Saccharomyces cerevisiae S288C: one gene and its partners. Each later gene encodes a partner of the first gene's protein in a complex. Each region holds a gene or a part of one and is shown on either strand. Other genes may lie near its edges.

Region 1 (8,164 bases):
AGCAGCCATTACCAATAGAAAGTTAAAATAGCCGCCGATGCATTTTATTACCCGCCTTTCTGTTTTCTGGGCACTTTTCTTTCTAGAAGGTGAAAGAACAATTTTTCTCGTTTTCTCGAACTTCCACCAAGCGTTGGGTAATGAGGGAGGAGATTTGTATAAAAAGAGTGGCATGTGAACTGCCTACCGTAAGTGACATGAACACATGCATTATATTTTTTGTGATATATTCTTTCTCTTGTTTTCTTTTTCTTGAAACGCTACAGAACCAATAGAAAAATAGAATCATTCTGAAATATGGCTGGTGAAACTTTTGAATTTCAAGCTGAAATCACTCAGTTGATGAGTTTGATCATCAACACTGTCTATTCTAACAAGGAAATTTTCTTGAGAGAACTGATCTCTAACGCCTCCGATGCTTTAGACAAAATTAGATACCAAGCTTTGTCTGATCCAAAGCAATTGGAAACCGAACCAGATTTGTTCATTAGAATCACCCCAAAACCAGAAGAAAAAGTTTTGGAAATCAGAGATTCTGGTATTGGTATGACCAAGGCTGAATTGATTAACAATTTGGGTACCATTGCTAAGTCTGGTACTAAAGCTTTCATGGAAGCTCTATCTGCTGGTGCCGATGTATCCATGATTGGTCAATTCGGTGTTGGTTTTTACTCTTTATTCTTAGTCGCCGACAGAGTTCAAGTTATTTCCAAGAACAATGAGGACGAACAATATATTTGGGAATCTAATGCCGGTGGTTCTTTCACCGTTACTTTGGACGAAGTTAACGAAAGAATTGGTAGAGGTACCGTCTTGAGATTATTCTTGAAAGATGACCAATTGGAGTACTTGGAAGAAAAGAGAATTAAAGAAGTCATCAAGAGACATTCTGAATTCGTTGCTTACCCTATCCAACTTCTAGTCACCAAGGAAGTCGAAAAGGAAGTTCCAATTCCAGAAGAAGAAAAGAAAGACGAGGAAAAGAAGGATGAAGATGACAAGAAACCAAAATTGGAAGAAGTCGATGAAGAAGAAGAAGAAAAGAAGCCAAAAACCAAAAAAGTTAAAGAAGAGGTTCAAGAATTAGAAGAGTTGAACAAGACTAAGCCATTATGGACTAGAAACCCATCTGATATCACTCAAGAGGAATACAATGCTTTCTATAAGTCTATTTCTAACGACTGGGAAGACCCATTGTACGTTAAGCATTTCTCTGTTGAAGGTCAATTGGAATTTAGAGCTATCTTGTTCATTCCAAAGAGAGCACCATTCGACTTATTTGAGAGTAAGAAGAAGAAGAACAATATCAAGTTGTACGTTCGTCGTGTCTTCATCACTGATGAAGCTGAAGACTTGATTCCAGAGTGGTTATCTTTCGTCAAGGGTGTTGTTGACTCTGAAGATTTACCATTGAATTTGTCCAGAGAAATGTTACAACAAAATAAGATTATGAAGGTTATTAGAAAGAATATTGTCAAGAAATTGATTGAAGCCTTCAACGAAATCGCTGAAGACTCCGAGCAATTTGACAAATTTTACTCTGCCTTCGCTAAGAACATTAAGCTGGGTGTACATGAGGACACTCAAAACAGAGCTGCTTTAGCTAAGTTGCTACGTTACAATTCTACTAAATCTGTCGATGAATTGACTTCCTTGACTGATTACGTTACTAGAATGCCAGAACACCAAAAGAACATCTATTACATCACCGGTGAATCTCTAAAGGCAGTCGAAAAGTCTCCATTCTTGGACGCCTTGAAGGCTAAGAACTTTGAAGTTTTGTTCTTGACCGACCCAATTGATGAATACGCTTTCACTCAATTGAAGGAATTCGAGGGTAAAACTTTGGTTGACATTACTAAAGATTTCGAATTGGAAGAAACAGACGAAGAAAAAGCTGAAAGAGAGAAGGAGATCAAAGAATACGAACCATTGACCAAGGCCTTGAAGGATATCTTGGGTGACCAAGTGGAGAAGGTTGTTGTTTCTTACAAATTGCTAGATGCTCCAGCTGCCATCAGAACTGGTCAATTCGGCTGGTCTGCTAACATGGAAAGAATCATGAAGGCTCAAGCCTTGAGAGACTCTTCCATGTCCTCCTACATGTCTTCCAAGAAGACTTTCGAAATTTCTCCAAAATCTCCAATTATTAAGGAATTGAAAAAGAGAGTTGATGAGGGTGGTGCACAAGATAAGACCGTCAAAGATTTGACTAACTTATTATTCGAGACCGCTTTGTTGACTTCTGGTTTCAGTTTGGAAGAACCAACTTCTTTTGCATCAAGAATAAATAGATTGATTTCTTTAGGTTTGAACATTGATGAGGATGAAGAAACAGAAACCGCTCCAGAAGCTTCTACCGAAGCTCCAGTTGAAGAGGTTCCAGCTGACACCGAGATGGAAGAAGTTGATTAATCTCTTTTTTCGCCTTCATGTTTTATATATTATATAAATTTGTTTACTTATTTTTACTATTTGTAATAATGATTCTGCTTTACGCGCCTTTAAAAAAGTTGGTCTTAATGTAAACATGAACCATAGCACACAATTTAAGACATCAGCTGTCAAATGACCATAAAATTGTCCTACCAGCTGTCCTTAAAGTTTAGTGTACACTTACGAATGACTTATTTACTCACCTTTGCAACTTTGTTCAATAAATTCATTGATCTTTTCAAGTTCCTGACATCTTTTGTAACTGGCATAGAGCTTCAGACTTGACCAGCCTATAGCAGCAGTACCACAACCTATAATATTGAAAATCATTCTAAATTCCGAAGGGGAGCAATTCGGCGTCCATTCAATTTTAAACTTTCTCTGTATCCATAGAAAAGCATTCAATAGAAGACCTCCTGTACATTTACCAACAAAGGGCCATAGTATCTTTTCTGCAAGAATAGCATACCAATTCCGCCTGATAAAAAATTCCTCAGCTGGAACGCTATTACTAGAGTTTTCAAAATTTCCGTGATACAAATACTTACCTCCTTTATTGATCAGCCTCCTGTAAATTAAGTCAACCAATCTTTTAAAGGTAAAATTATAGCAAAATGTAGCCAAGTTAGAATACAAAATTATTTTAGGTAAACCTATACCCTTGTAATATTTGTTTCCAGCAGTTTTTACAATACTGAGATACACCCACTTAAAGAGTATTGCATTAGCACTGACGTTAGAAATGTTGCTAAGATAATGTATGAACCCATATATTATGATCGAGGAGGTTAAAGGAATGCTTAATAAGCCACGTTCAGTTTGCGCATATACGTCCAATGCCTTTGTAGTGCTGATGTTTAACATATTTCGTAGAACATTCTCAGGGAAAAGGCAGCGTAGTTGCCATAATCCAATGTCAAAACTTGTCTTTTCAGGGTTTAAAAGAAATAAACTAGTTATCCCTAATGGTATCACGTATCGTGTAATTTTTTGCCACTGATAAAACAGGGATAGTACAGAAGACTGGATGGTTACTGTAGGTCTTTTTATGAAATTTGTTTTCTTGCATTGAGGACATTCGCCAAATTTCACTAACACATAAGGTGGATGATTATCCCGTTTGGTATAAAGAGACATTAGATTGAACACGTAGTCATTTTGAAACGGTACTGATTTTTGCCCCCAAATGGGACGAGTTTCCCATATTTCTGTAAGAGAGAAAGTCGTCATAAAATCATGGTGCCCATCAACGAGACATTTTAAACAGGTGATTATAGGTAAATCAGCATCCTTTGGTAGGTCCACTGTGTTCGGAAGAAAAAGTTCAACATGCATTTGATAGAGCCATCTTATATAGCAGCGTTTATGAATTTGTAAGTTGCAACCGCACGTGTGCTGTAGCCATGTAGAGTCATATGTGGATTCTTCCAAACATATCCAGCATATGCATCTTTTTTTTATGAGAGATAAAAAAAAATGAGGTGGGGTCATATAAAACTTGGACTATTTCCTTGGAATTTTCTTGTTTGTAAAATCAGAGCAGAGCTCTTTTATTTACTTTTGTTTTTGACGATGGGGACGAGCGATGTACTCACATCTTCGATATCACTTGCCTGAAAATATATAAATGCGTTAAACGATAGAAAATCAAAAACATCGTTCTTTTCACTAGAATATTTTAAAGTCAAAACATAACACTTTACTATTTACGTAACGAAGTCTTGTAGTTGTATATATTTACAGAGTGTAGTGCTTTAGTTGAGAAAATATGACACTCGGCTTTCCTCTTTCTTTTATTTACTGGCTTGGTTGTTGCATATCCATCATGACGTGCTTTCTTAACAAATTTTTTTTGATGTTTTTTTTCAAGGTCAAAGGATCCTCAACACCATGATCCTTCAAAAATTGATCACATTTTAGATCATTCGACAACAATTCGGATAATCGCGTTTGAATACGATCAATGAGACTTCTTTGTTTCTCCAAATTAACCTCCAATCCAGAGATGTCTAACTGTAAAAGTTGCCTCACTGTTTCTTGTGAAAAATCTTGAATGCCGTACCTTTGTTTAATCTCCAATAACTCTTTCGGCGTTGACCCGCTAGATAAAGCATCTTGGATGGTCCTAATATCACGTAAAAGGGTTGTTTTTTCATTTAGTTTATTCTCCCTCACTGATCTTTTATCCAAAAATTCTTTTGCCTTTTGGGCTTCTTCTTTTGCAACGCTTAACTGAGCTTCTGATTCGTATAATGCAAATTGTTGACCCTTGTTTCTAATAATTTCTGCAATGGCAAAAAACTTCCTCTTTGAAAGCGGCCTCGTCGCTTCTATCCTTACTAAATCACCCTCCCTTGATATTTCACCTTCATCATGCACTAAATAATCTCTTCTATGAAATAACTCCTTGTTGATTTTCTTATTAAAGACTTTTGTTTCTACACGTACTTTAACCGTCTTTTGCATCTTCCCTTGGGAGACGACCAAGCCTAAAAAATTTTGGCGAGCCATTACAGTTTAACTGATCTTGATTTGACTTTTGAAATCTCTAACCCGAATTCAACTCCCTGAGTTTACTTCTGTTTGGCCTTATTTGTGGATTTCCTCTAACAGTTTGATGCTCGCATTGGTTTGGCACAATCCCAAATTGCTTCAGAATTCTAATCTTATGAAATAACAATCATGTTACCCGGTTGAATCGTTACCCGACATCTCTGACTCTTCTTGAGGTATAGACTCCTCCTTTTCGGAGTCATGACTCTCAGAGGAGTCATCGAAGTCAGCATTGAGCTGTGAAGGACCTTGATAAGCTAGTCGAAAGATCTCCAACGAATATAAATGGATGTATATATAGCAGGCTCGAGTGGCACAATTTTCTTCTCTTCAAGTTCCAGTGAATTAGTCTTTCTCGTGTGTACCAATCTTACTGTATTGATTGCTGCGCGATCTAACCATCAACTAACCACAGTTTATTGGAAAAACGTTTCCTAATACCAGGAAGATAACATGCTTAGGACAAGAGTGACTGCTCTCCTTTGTAGGGCTACTGTCAGGTCAAGCACCAATTATGTTTCATTAGCGAGGACTAGATCATTCCATTCTCAATCTATTTTGCTCAAAACAGCCGCTACAGACATAACGTCTACACAGTACAGCAGGATTTTCAATCCTGACTTGAAAAACATTGATAGACCGCTAGATACTTTTGCTAGACGTCATTTAGGTCCTTCTCCTAGCGACGTTAAGAAAATGTTAAAAACAATGGGTTATAGCGATTTAAACGCATTTATAGAAGAGCTCGTTCCTCCCAATATTTTGAAGAGAAGACCCTTGAAACTAGAAGCTCCTAGTAAGGGATTCTGTGAACAAGAAATGCTTCAACATCTAGAAAAGATTGCCAATAAGAACCACTATAAAGTTAAAAATTTCATAGGTAAGGGTTACTACGGTACGATTTTACCACCGGTTATACAAAGAAACCTGCTAGAAAGTCCAGAATGGTATACTTCTTATACGCCCTATCAACCCGAAATTTCTCAAGGTAGGCTAGAAGCGCTATTAAACTTTCAAACGGTTGTTTCAGATTTGACTGGTTTGCCTGTGGCGAACGCCTCATTGTTGGATGAGGGTACAGCGGCTGGAGAAGCTATGCTCTTGTCATTCAATATTTCCAGAAAAAAGAAACTAAAATACGTAATAGATAAAAAATTACACCAGCAAACAAAGAGTGTCCTTCACACCAGAGCCAAGCCGTTCAATATTGAAATTATTGAAGTTGACTGTTCGGATATCAAGAAAGCTGTGGATGTTTTAAAGAACCCCGACGTATCTGGTTGTTTGGTTCAATATCCAGCGACAGATGGTTCAATCTTACCGCCTGACTCGATGAAACAGTTATCTGATGCGTTACACTCTCACAAGTCTTTGCTCTCTGTGGCCTCAGATTTAATGGCTTTGACACTTCTAAAACCACCTGCTCATTACGGTGCTGATATCGTCCTGGGTTCCTCTCAACGATTTGGTGTCCCAATGGGTTATGGTGGTCCTCATGCTGCTTTTTTCGCTGTTATTGATAAATTAAACAGAAAAATTCCAGGTAGAATTGTCGGTATCTCTAAAGACCGCTTAGGCAAGACGGCCTTGCGGTTGGCCCTCCAAACAAGAGAACAACATATCAAGCGTGATAAGGCAACTTCAAATATATGTACCGCTCAAGCTTTACTGGCTAATGTTGCTTCGAGCTACTGTGTTTATCACGGTCCTAAGGGCCTACAGAATATTTCCAGGAGGATATTTAGCTTAACATCAATATTGGCAAATGCCATCGAAAATGACAGTTGCCCTCACGAACTAATTAATAAAACATGGTTTGATACTTTGACTATAAAGTTAGGTAATGGCATATCCTCCGAGCAGTTATTGGACAAGGCCTTGAAAGAATTTAATATCAATTTGTTTGCCGTGGACACCACCACTATTTCCTTGGCTCTTGATGAAACAACTACAAAAGCTGATGTTGAAAATCTACTAAAAGTGTTTGACATTGAAAATTCTTCGCAGTTTCTTTCTGAGGACTATTCTAACAGTTTCCCAAGGGAATTTCAGCGTACTGATGAAATATTGAGGAACGAAGTCTTTCACATGCACCATAGCGAAACAGCAATGTTGAGATATTTACATAGGTTGCAATCTCGTGATTTATCTCTTGCTAATTCTATGATTCCTTTAGGTTCCTGTACTATGAAATTGAACAGTACTGTTGAAATGATGCCAATCACTTGGCCCCAATTTTCGAATATCCATCCGTTCCAGCCATCAAACCAAGTCCAAGGATACAAGGAACTAATTACTTCGTTGGAGAAAGATTTATGCAGCATTACAGGTTTCGATGGTATTTCTTTACAACCAAATTCAGGTGCTCAAGGTGAATATACTGGTCTGAGAGTAATCAGATCCTACCTGGAAAGCAAAGGTGAAAATCATCGTAACGTGTGTTTAATCCCTGTATCCGCTCATGGTACAAATCCGGCTTCTGCCGCTATGGCGGGTTTAAAAGTTGTTCCTGTCAACTGTTTGCAGGATGGCTCATTAGATCTGGTTGACTTAAAGAATAAGGCTGAACAACATTCTAAAGAACTAGCCGCCGTAATGATCACCTATCCTTCCACTTACGGTTTATTTGAACCAGGCATCCAACATGCTATTGATATCGTACATTCTTTTGGTGGACAAGTCTATTTGGATGGTGCTAATATGAATGCGCAGGTTGGGCTAACTTCACCCGGAGATCTTGGTGCAGATGTTTGCCACTTGAATTTACATAAGACATTTTCCATTCCTCATGGTGGTGGTGGTCCAGCTGGAGCTCCCATTTGCGTCAAATCTCATTTAATACCCCATTTACCTAAACATGACGTTGTTGATATGATCACTGGAATCGGCGGTAGCAAATCCATCGATTCGGTCTCCTCTGCTCCATATGGTAATGCTTTAGTGTTACCAATTTCTTATGCCTATATCAAAATGATGGGTAATGAGGGATTACCATTTTCTAGTGTGATAGCAATGCTAAATTCAAATTATATGATGACAAGATTAAAAGATCATTATAAAATTCTTTTCGTCAATGAAATGAGCACACTAAAACACTGCGCTCATGAATTTATAGTTGATCTAAGAGAATACAAAGCTAAAGGTGTTGAAGCTATCGATGTTGCCAAGAGATTGC
Region 2 (2,557 bases), on another chromosome or scaffold:
CCACGTTCCCGTTAGTCAAACGGACCCTGCACGCCTTTCTCTGCGCAGAATTCGGCTTCTTGGGCTTTAAAACCATTACACGTAATACGACACCCTTCCGCTGGGGACACTGATCCAGTTGTGGAGCTGTACTTATCTTCTTGCGTCTTGGAGGCCCGGAGCCTCTTTTAATCTGATTCAATGTCGCTTGCATTGTCGTAGTGGAGGAAAACAATCTCTGCGCCTGTCTCAAGGGCGTACACCATGTGTTGGACATAAACCTCGACAACATGGCTCTTGTTGGCCTGCTTCAATTCTGGTGTACCTGTAAGTTCTCCGTCTTTTCCCTGGTTATATGCGTTTTTTCTCCCCAAATCGTTTTGTCGCTCGGGTAAGACTGAAATGCTTTTAAAAGCACTATTACTGTTTATTATGCTATATATATATATATATACAGCCCGAGTCTGGCTTGATCTTATTTACATGATATATCATCTAGAAATCTATATACACTAGATCCCTCATTTGTTCTTGGTTTGAGTATAGCTGAAACGCTTCCTGGTAGGTGCGAACTCGCCCAGTTTGTGGCCCACCATATCTTCTGATATTTCAATAGGTACGTACTCCTTACCATTGTGTATTTGAAATTTCAGTCCCACGAACTGAGGAAGGATGGTGGCGGCCCTTGCGTTTGTTCTTATTGGAGTGCCCTTAGTCATGGCCTCCCTTATGGGTAATGGCACGATGTTGGGGCCCTTCCATACGGACCGCGATAAAAGTCTAGCTGCCGGTTGCATTTTATTTTTGGTGGACACTACTTCTGCCGATGCTGTACTGCTCTTGCAATGAACCTCACCGTTTTAAGTCATGGTTAGATTCTTACTAGGCGCTTCCAATTGCCATTTCTTGCTCAGCCATAACCGTGAATAGTGATCCAAACGCTAATGCCGGGTGATGCTTAAAATTTGAAAAATTATTGCAGATTTGTATTATATAGAAAGCATAACTGGCGATGAGATGTGCTCGAAACTGGACACCTTTACCATTGGTGACCGGTAGTGACAATGTTTGCATCGAGATTTGACCCTAGCCAATTGACTGCTCCTGCAGCTAGCGCACCAGAAGGAATCGTCGGAACTACTCCCCCGGCCATTGTGCCTTTAAAGAGGCAGGCTACTGAATCTGATAATGAAGAATATGGCTCTCACCAAGATTCTGATGAGAGTTCCAACTCTAGTTCAGAGGAAGACGAAGACCGTATGCAAGTAGATTATGGGGCTAGTGAAGAGGATTCGAGTGAAGTGGAAGAGGAAGAGAGTAAGCCAAGTACTCACAGCACAGTGCTATCGAGATTCAAGCAAACAGTATCATTGCAAGAAAGGCTAGGTGCATCTGATATTGCTGAGAGTAAGGAAGACGAAGGTATTGAAGACGAGGCGGCCTCAACTCACCAACTAAAACAGATTCCTCAACCTGAATTCGTCAAAAACCCAATGAATTTGAATACAAATTCATTACAGTTCAAATCTACGGGTTGGTTAAATACTGAGAAGATATATTATGATAATTCCTTGATCAAACCGTTCTCGGATTACGCAAATGAATTAGAAGCAAAACTACTGCAGAATATTTGCAAGAATTTCTCTACAAACACTTTTCCCATCCAATCGATCATCCTAGACTCCATATTACCGGTATTGAACTTCACGTTGAACGTATCTAAGAGAAACTTCACCAGAAGAATCGGTGATATTCTTGTAAATGCTGCTACCGGTTCAGGTAAAACTTTGGCTTACTCCATTCCTATTGTTCAAACCCTCTTCAAGAGACAAATTAACAGACTGCGTTGTATAATCATCGTCCCCACAAAACTATTGATAAACCAAGTTTATACTACGTTGACAAAGCTAACTCAAGGGACGTCGCTTATTGTGAGCATTGCCAAATTAGAAAATTCTTTGAAGGACGAACACAAAAAATTATCAAATTTGGAACCAGATATCTTAATCACTACACCTGGTAGATTAGTAGATCATCTAAATATGAAATCGATAAATTTGAAAAACCTAAAGTTTTTGATTATCGATGAGGCTGATCGTCTTTTGAACCAGTCCTTCCAGGGCTGGTGTCCAAAACTAATGTCCCATTTGAAAACGGATAAATTAGATACACTTCCAGGGAACGTGATCAAAATGATCTTCAGTGCGACATTGACTACCAACACAGAAAAGTTAAACGGCTTGAACCTTTACAAACCAAAGTTGTTCCTGAAGCAAACCGATAAATTGTACCAGCTACCTAACAAATTGAATGAATTTAACATCAACATTCCCACGGCGAAAAGTGTTTACAAGCCATTGATATTGTTGTATTCAATATGCCAATTTATGGCACATTCCCCCATTGCTGCAAAGATTTTGATTTTCGTTAAATCAAATGAATCGTCTATCAGATTAAGCAAGTTACTACAACTTATCTGTGAATCTCGCTCACAATCCAGCGTATTGAAAAACCTTCAAAATTTGGCGGTGAGTATTAATTCTGTCAATTCAAACAACTCCAAAGCAGAAAATAAAAA
Region 3 (2,793 bases), on another chromosome or scaffold:
ATCGAAATATTCTCGGAAGCTGTCATTGCACTCATTAACCATTTTCCATTGTTCGCATTATTACTTAGGTTAAAAGATCCTAAACGTCTACCCGGTGGCATTTCAATTGAGCTCAAAACCACGGTTTCTAACAAGCATACAACCTTAGAACTTCAAAACAATCCTATTAAATTCAAGAGTATGTTCAGACCATACAATCTATTGTTGTCGCAAATGAGGACAAATTATTTCTCGTTTGCTACTGTACGAAAGATTGTCCGAGGGGAGTCTATAATGGTCAATAGAAATAAGCTGTACTATGTTCTTTATTCTTCACTGCCTAGTAAGCCATTGAGTGTAAAGGATTTATACAAAAGGCTGACTATTCAGGCATAACGTTTTCTTTTATAAGTAAAGTAGCGTTTTCTTGCTTCAGCTATTTGTTGTTTTATTTTTGATTTTGTATGTACATGAAATGAGTTTCTACATAATGAATATTTTTTTTAGTAAGGGTGCTCCAATCATTTTTTTTTCTTCCCCTTCCCCTTTGCAGTTGCAGCTGCATCCTTCTTCATCTTCTTAGGAGCACCTTTACCACGACGTTTCTTTGCTTCTACCATAGATAATCGATATTGCTCCTCAAGGTCTACAAATTCAATATCAGGATATAATGTTTTCAAATGTCTGAACTTCAGGATATCCGGATTGCCGTAGTAGCTTGCCACAGAAGGGCCCTTTAATCGCTCATTTAGAATCTTAGAACCGGTTCTTATACCTGATGGGTTGAAATTTTGATCAAATATCTTCGCAGATAACTCTGCTACTTTTAGGAGTCTCGCCTTTGGTACGTTCATTGAAAGTCTTATGATAAACTAATCCACGCAATCACTACGTACCACTTCGTCGAGCGGGTCAAAACAAGTACCTATTCTCCATGGCTATGTGCTCTAAAATGGTTTAGAAGTTCGCTTATTATATTTCTAACTGTTTTAGATCACTATATACGCTACGTGTTGATAAGACTTCATTTGCACATTTTTACTACAATAGCTAACTACTCTCAATTGATTAAACTTCTCAGCAAATAAAGTACATGGCTAAATGTGTGACAAGATGACACAATGAATGTATTTCTTTTTTCTTGATTTTTATTTAGCCGCTAAATTGATAAAGAAATCTGTTATTCTAATAAAACATTATACTATAATTATTAATATACTATTTGTAAATATCACCTTACTTACCACTCGACGTTGTCAGCATTTTCTTCAGCCCATTCAGTAGCTTCAGCTTGCTCTTCGGTAACCTCTTCCTTGGCTTCTTCTTCACCAGCTTCTTCGGTGGTAGCTTCTTCAGCAACTTGTTGTTCAACTTCTTCAGGGTCTCTGTAGAAGTACAAATCTGGCATGATGGACCATGGTTGAGTTCTGTCAACTAAAGCACCTCTTAGTCTCAAAACTTCTCTAGCCAATAAGTACCAGATTAAACCAATGGAGTGCTTACCTCTGTTGTTACATGGGATAGCGACATCGACGAATTCTGATGGAGAGTCAAGATCAGTTAGAGCAATGACAGGGATGTTAACGTAAGAAGCTTCCTTGATGGCTTGAGCATCTGATCTTGGGTCGGTGACAATAACTAATCTTGGTTCCTTGAAAGAACGGGTGATATAATTGGTGAAAGAACCTGGAGTGAATCTACCGGCGATTGGGGTAGCACCGGTGTGGGCAGCGAACTTCAAAACAGCCCTTTGACCGAAAGTTCTGGAAGAGATGGCAACAACGTCTTCTGGGTTTGGAATGGCAGCGATGATTCTGGCAGCCAAAACCAATTTTTCCCAGGTCTTACCAACGTTGATAACGTGGACACCATCTGGTCTTGCGTTGAAAACATATGGTTCTTGGTGAACCTGAAACAAAATTAAAGAAGAAAAAGTTAGTATAAAAGATTCAAAAACGTACACTTGGTATATGCTGTGAATGATCAACTGATTCAAATTAATGTACTATGAAAAAATGGCATTTATAGTTGGCTAACAGCGTCGGAAGAATAGGTACCGGAATTAATTGATTTCATTGAAAGAGGTTTAATACCAAAGGTTTGTTTTTTTTTTTCATTAGCGATTTAAAATTTAATAACATAATACAATTAGAAAGTCTATTGGCAAAATATTCGCTGATAATTAGCTGGAGTTTCAAACTGTTTTAATGATTGTTCATATATTTCTCTTCTTATTCAGCCTGAAAAATGCTATCCCAGCATTCCGTTTGGTTGGCGGGAAACCTGGTTGTGGCTATTCTTTCACTCGAACTGTTTTCAATCACACATTACTCTATTATATAATCGGGAATGAGTATAACATACTTGAACGTTTCTAGCACCTAAGTGAGTGTTAGCAGCCAACAAAAGTTGGGCATCTTCTGGAGTCAAGTCAAAAGTAGCTGGTAAGGACATTTCGCTCTCTATTTAGTTTGCTATTTTCTAAGCTATACCTCACTCTACAAGGGCAGTTTACGAAGTAAACTAACAATGCTACATTTCGATATATTATAAGCATCCTTGCTACGGGATCTGGCAAGTGTCCTGCCCTGCTACTATCTGCCCGGCAGCAGGCCACTGTACTACTCACAATTGGGAACACGACGGGATTCTGGTATCCATGGTAGGGTGCGCAGGATTGTAACGATGGCCCTGCACATTTACAATCGTTGGCTGAGATGAGCCTGTTCCAGCCTACGAAGTAAATTCCTCCATCCCTCCAGGCAGGATCTGTCCCAATTCCTTCCTGCCTGGAGAATCTCTGGGCCTGCGTTT

Evidence for each region. Proteins that work in one complex are often made in the same cells at the same time.
Region 2: MRPS17 (region 1) and RSM19 share a complex: the UniProt entries of both Saccharomyces cerevisiae proteins name them as parts of the mitochondrial small ribosomal subunit.
Region 3: MRPS17 (region 1) and RSM27 share a complex: the UniProt entries of both Saccharomyces cerevisiae proteins name them as parts of the mitochondrial small ribosomal subunit.

Annotation. Positions count from the first base shown.
Region 1 is NC_001145.3:632,058-640,221, forward strand, and holds MRPS17 (mitochondrial 37S ribosomal protein uS17m MRPS17), read right to left. Parts: upstream 4,948-8,164; coding exon 4,234-4,947; downstream 1-4,233. Other genes in the region: Hsp90 family chaperone HSC82, read left to right, coding at 298-2,415; YMR187C (uncharacterized protein), read right to left, coding at 2,632-3,927; GCV2 (glycine decarboxylase subunit P), read left to right, coding at 5,443-8,164. UniProt on the Saccharomyces cerevisiae protein: Component of the mitochondrial ribosome (mitoribosome), a dedicated translation machinery responsible for the synthesis of mitochondrial genome-encoded proteins, including at least some of the essential transmembrane subunits of the mitochondrial respiratory chain.
Region 2 is NC_001146.8:694,552-697,108, forward strand, and holds RSM19 (mitochondrial 37S ribosomal protein uS19m RSM19), read right to left. Parts: upstream 777-2,557; coding exon 501-776; downstream 1-500. Other genes in the region: mitochondrial 37S ribosomal protein uS12m MRPS12, read right to left, coding at 1-271; putative ATP-dependent RNA helicase DBP6, read left to right, coding at 1,044-2,557. UniProt on the Saccharomyces cerevisiae protein: Component of the mitochondrial ribosome (mitoribosome), a dedicated translation machinery responsible for the synthesis of mitochondrial genome-encoded proteins, including at least some of the essential transmembrane subunits of the mitochondrial respiratory chain.
Region 3 is NC_001139.9:920,215-923,007, reverse strand, and holds RSM27 (mitochondrial 37S ribosomal protein mS33 RSM27), read right to left. Parts: upstream 834-2,793; coding exon 501-833; downstream 1-500. Other genes in the region: GPI1 (phosphatidylinositol N-acetylglucosaminyltransferase), read left to right, coding at 1-375; 40S ribosomal protein uS2 RPS0A, read right to left, coding at 1,220-1,888, 2,344-2,433. UniProt on the Saccharomyces cerevisiae protein: Component of the mitochondrial ribosome (mitoribosome), a dedicated translation machinery responsible for the synthesis of mitochondrial genome-encoded proteins, including at least some of the essential transmembrane subunits of the mitochondrial respiratory chain.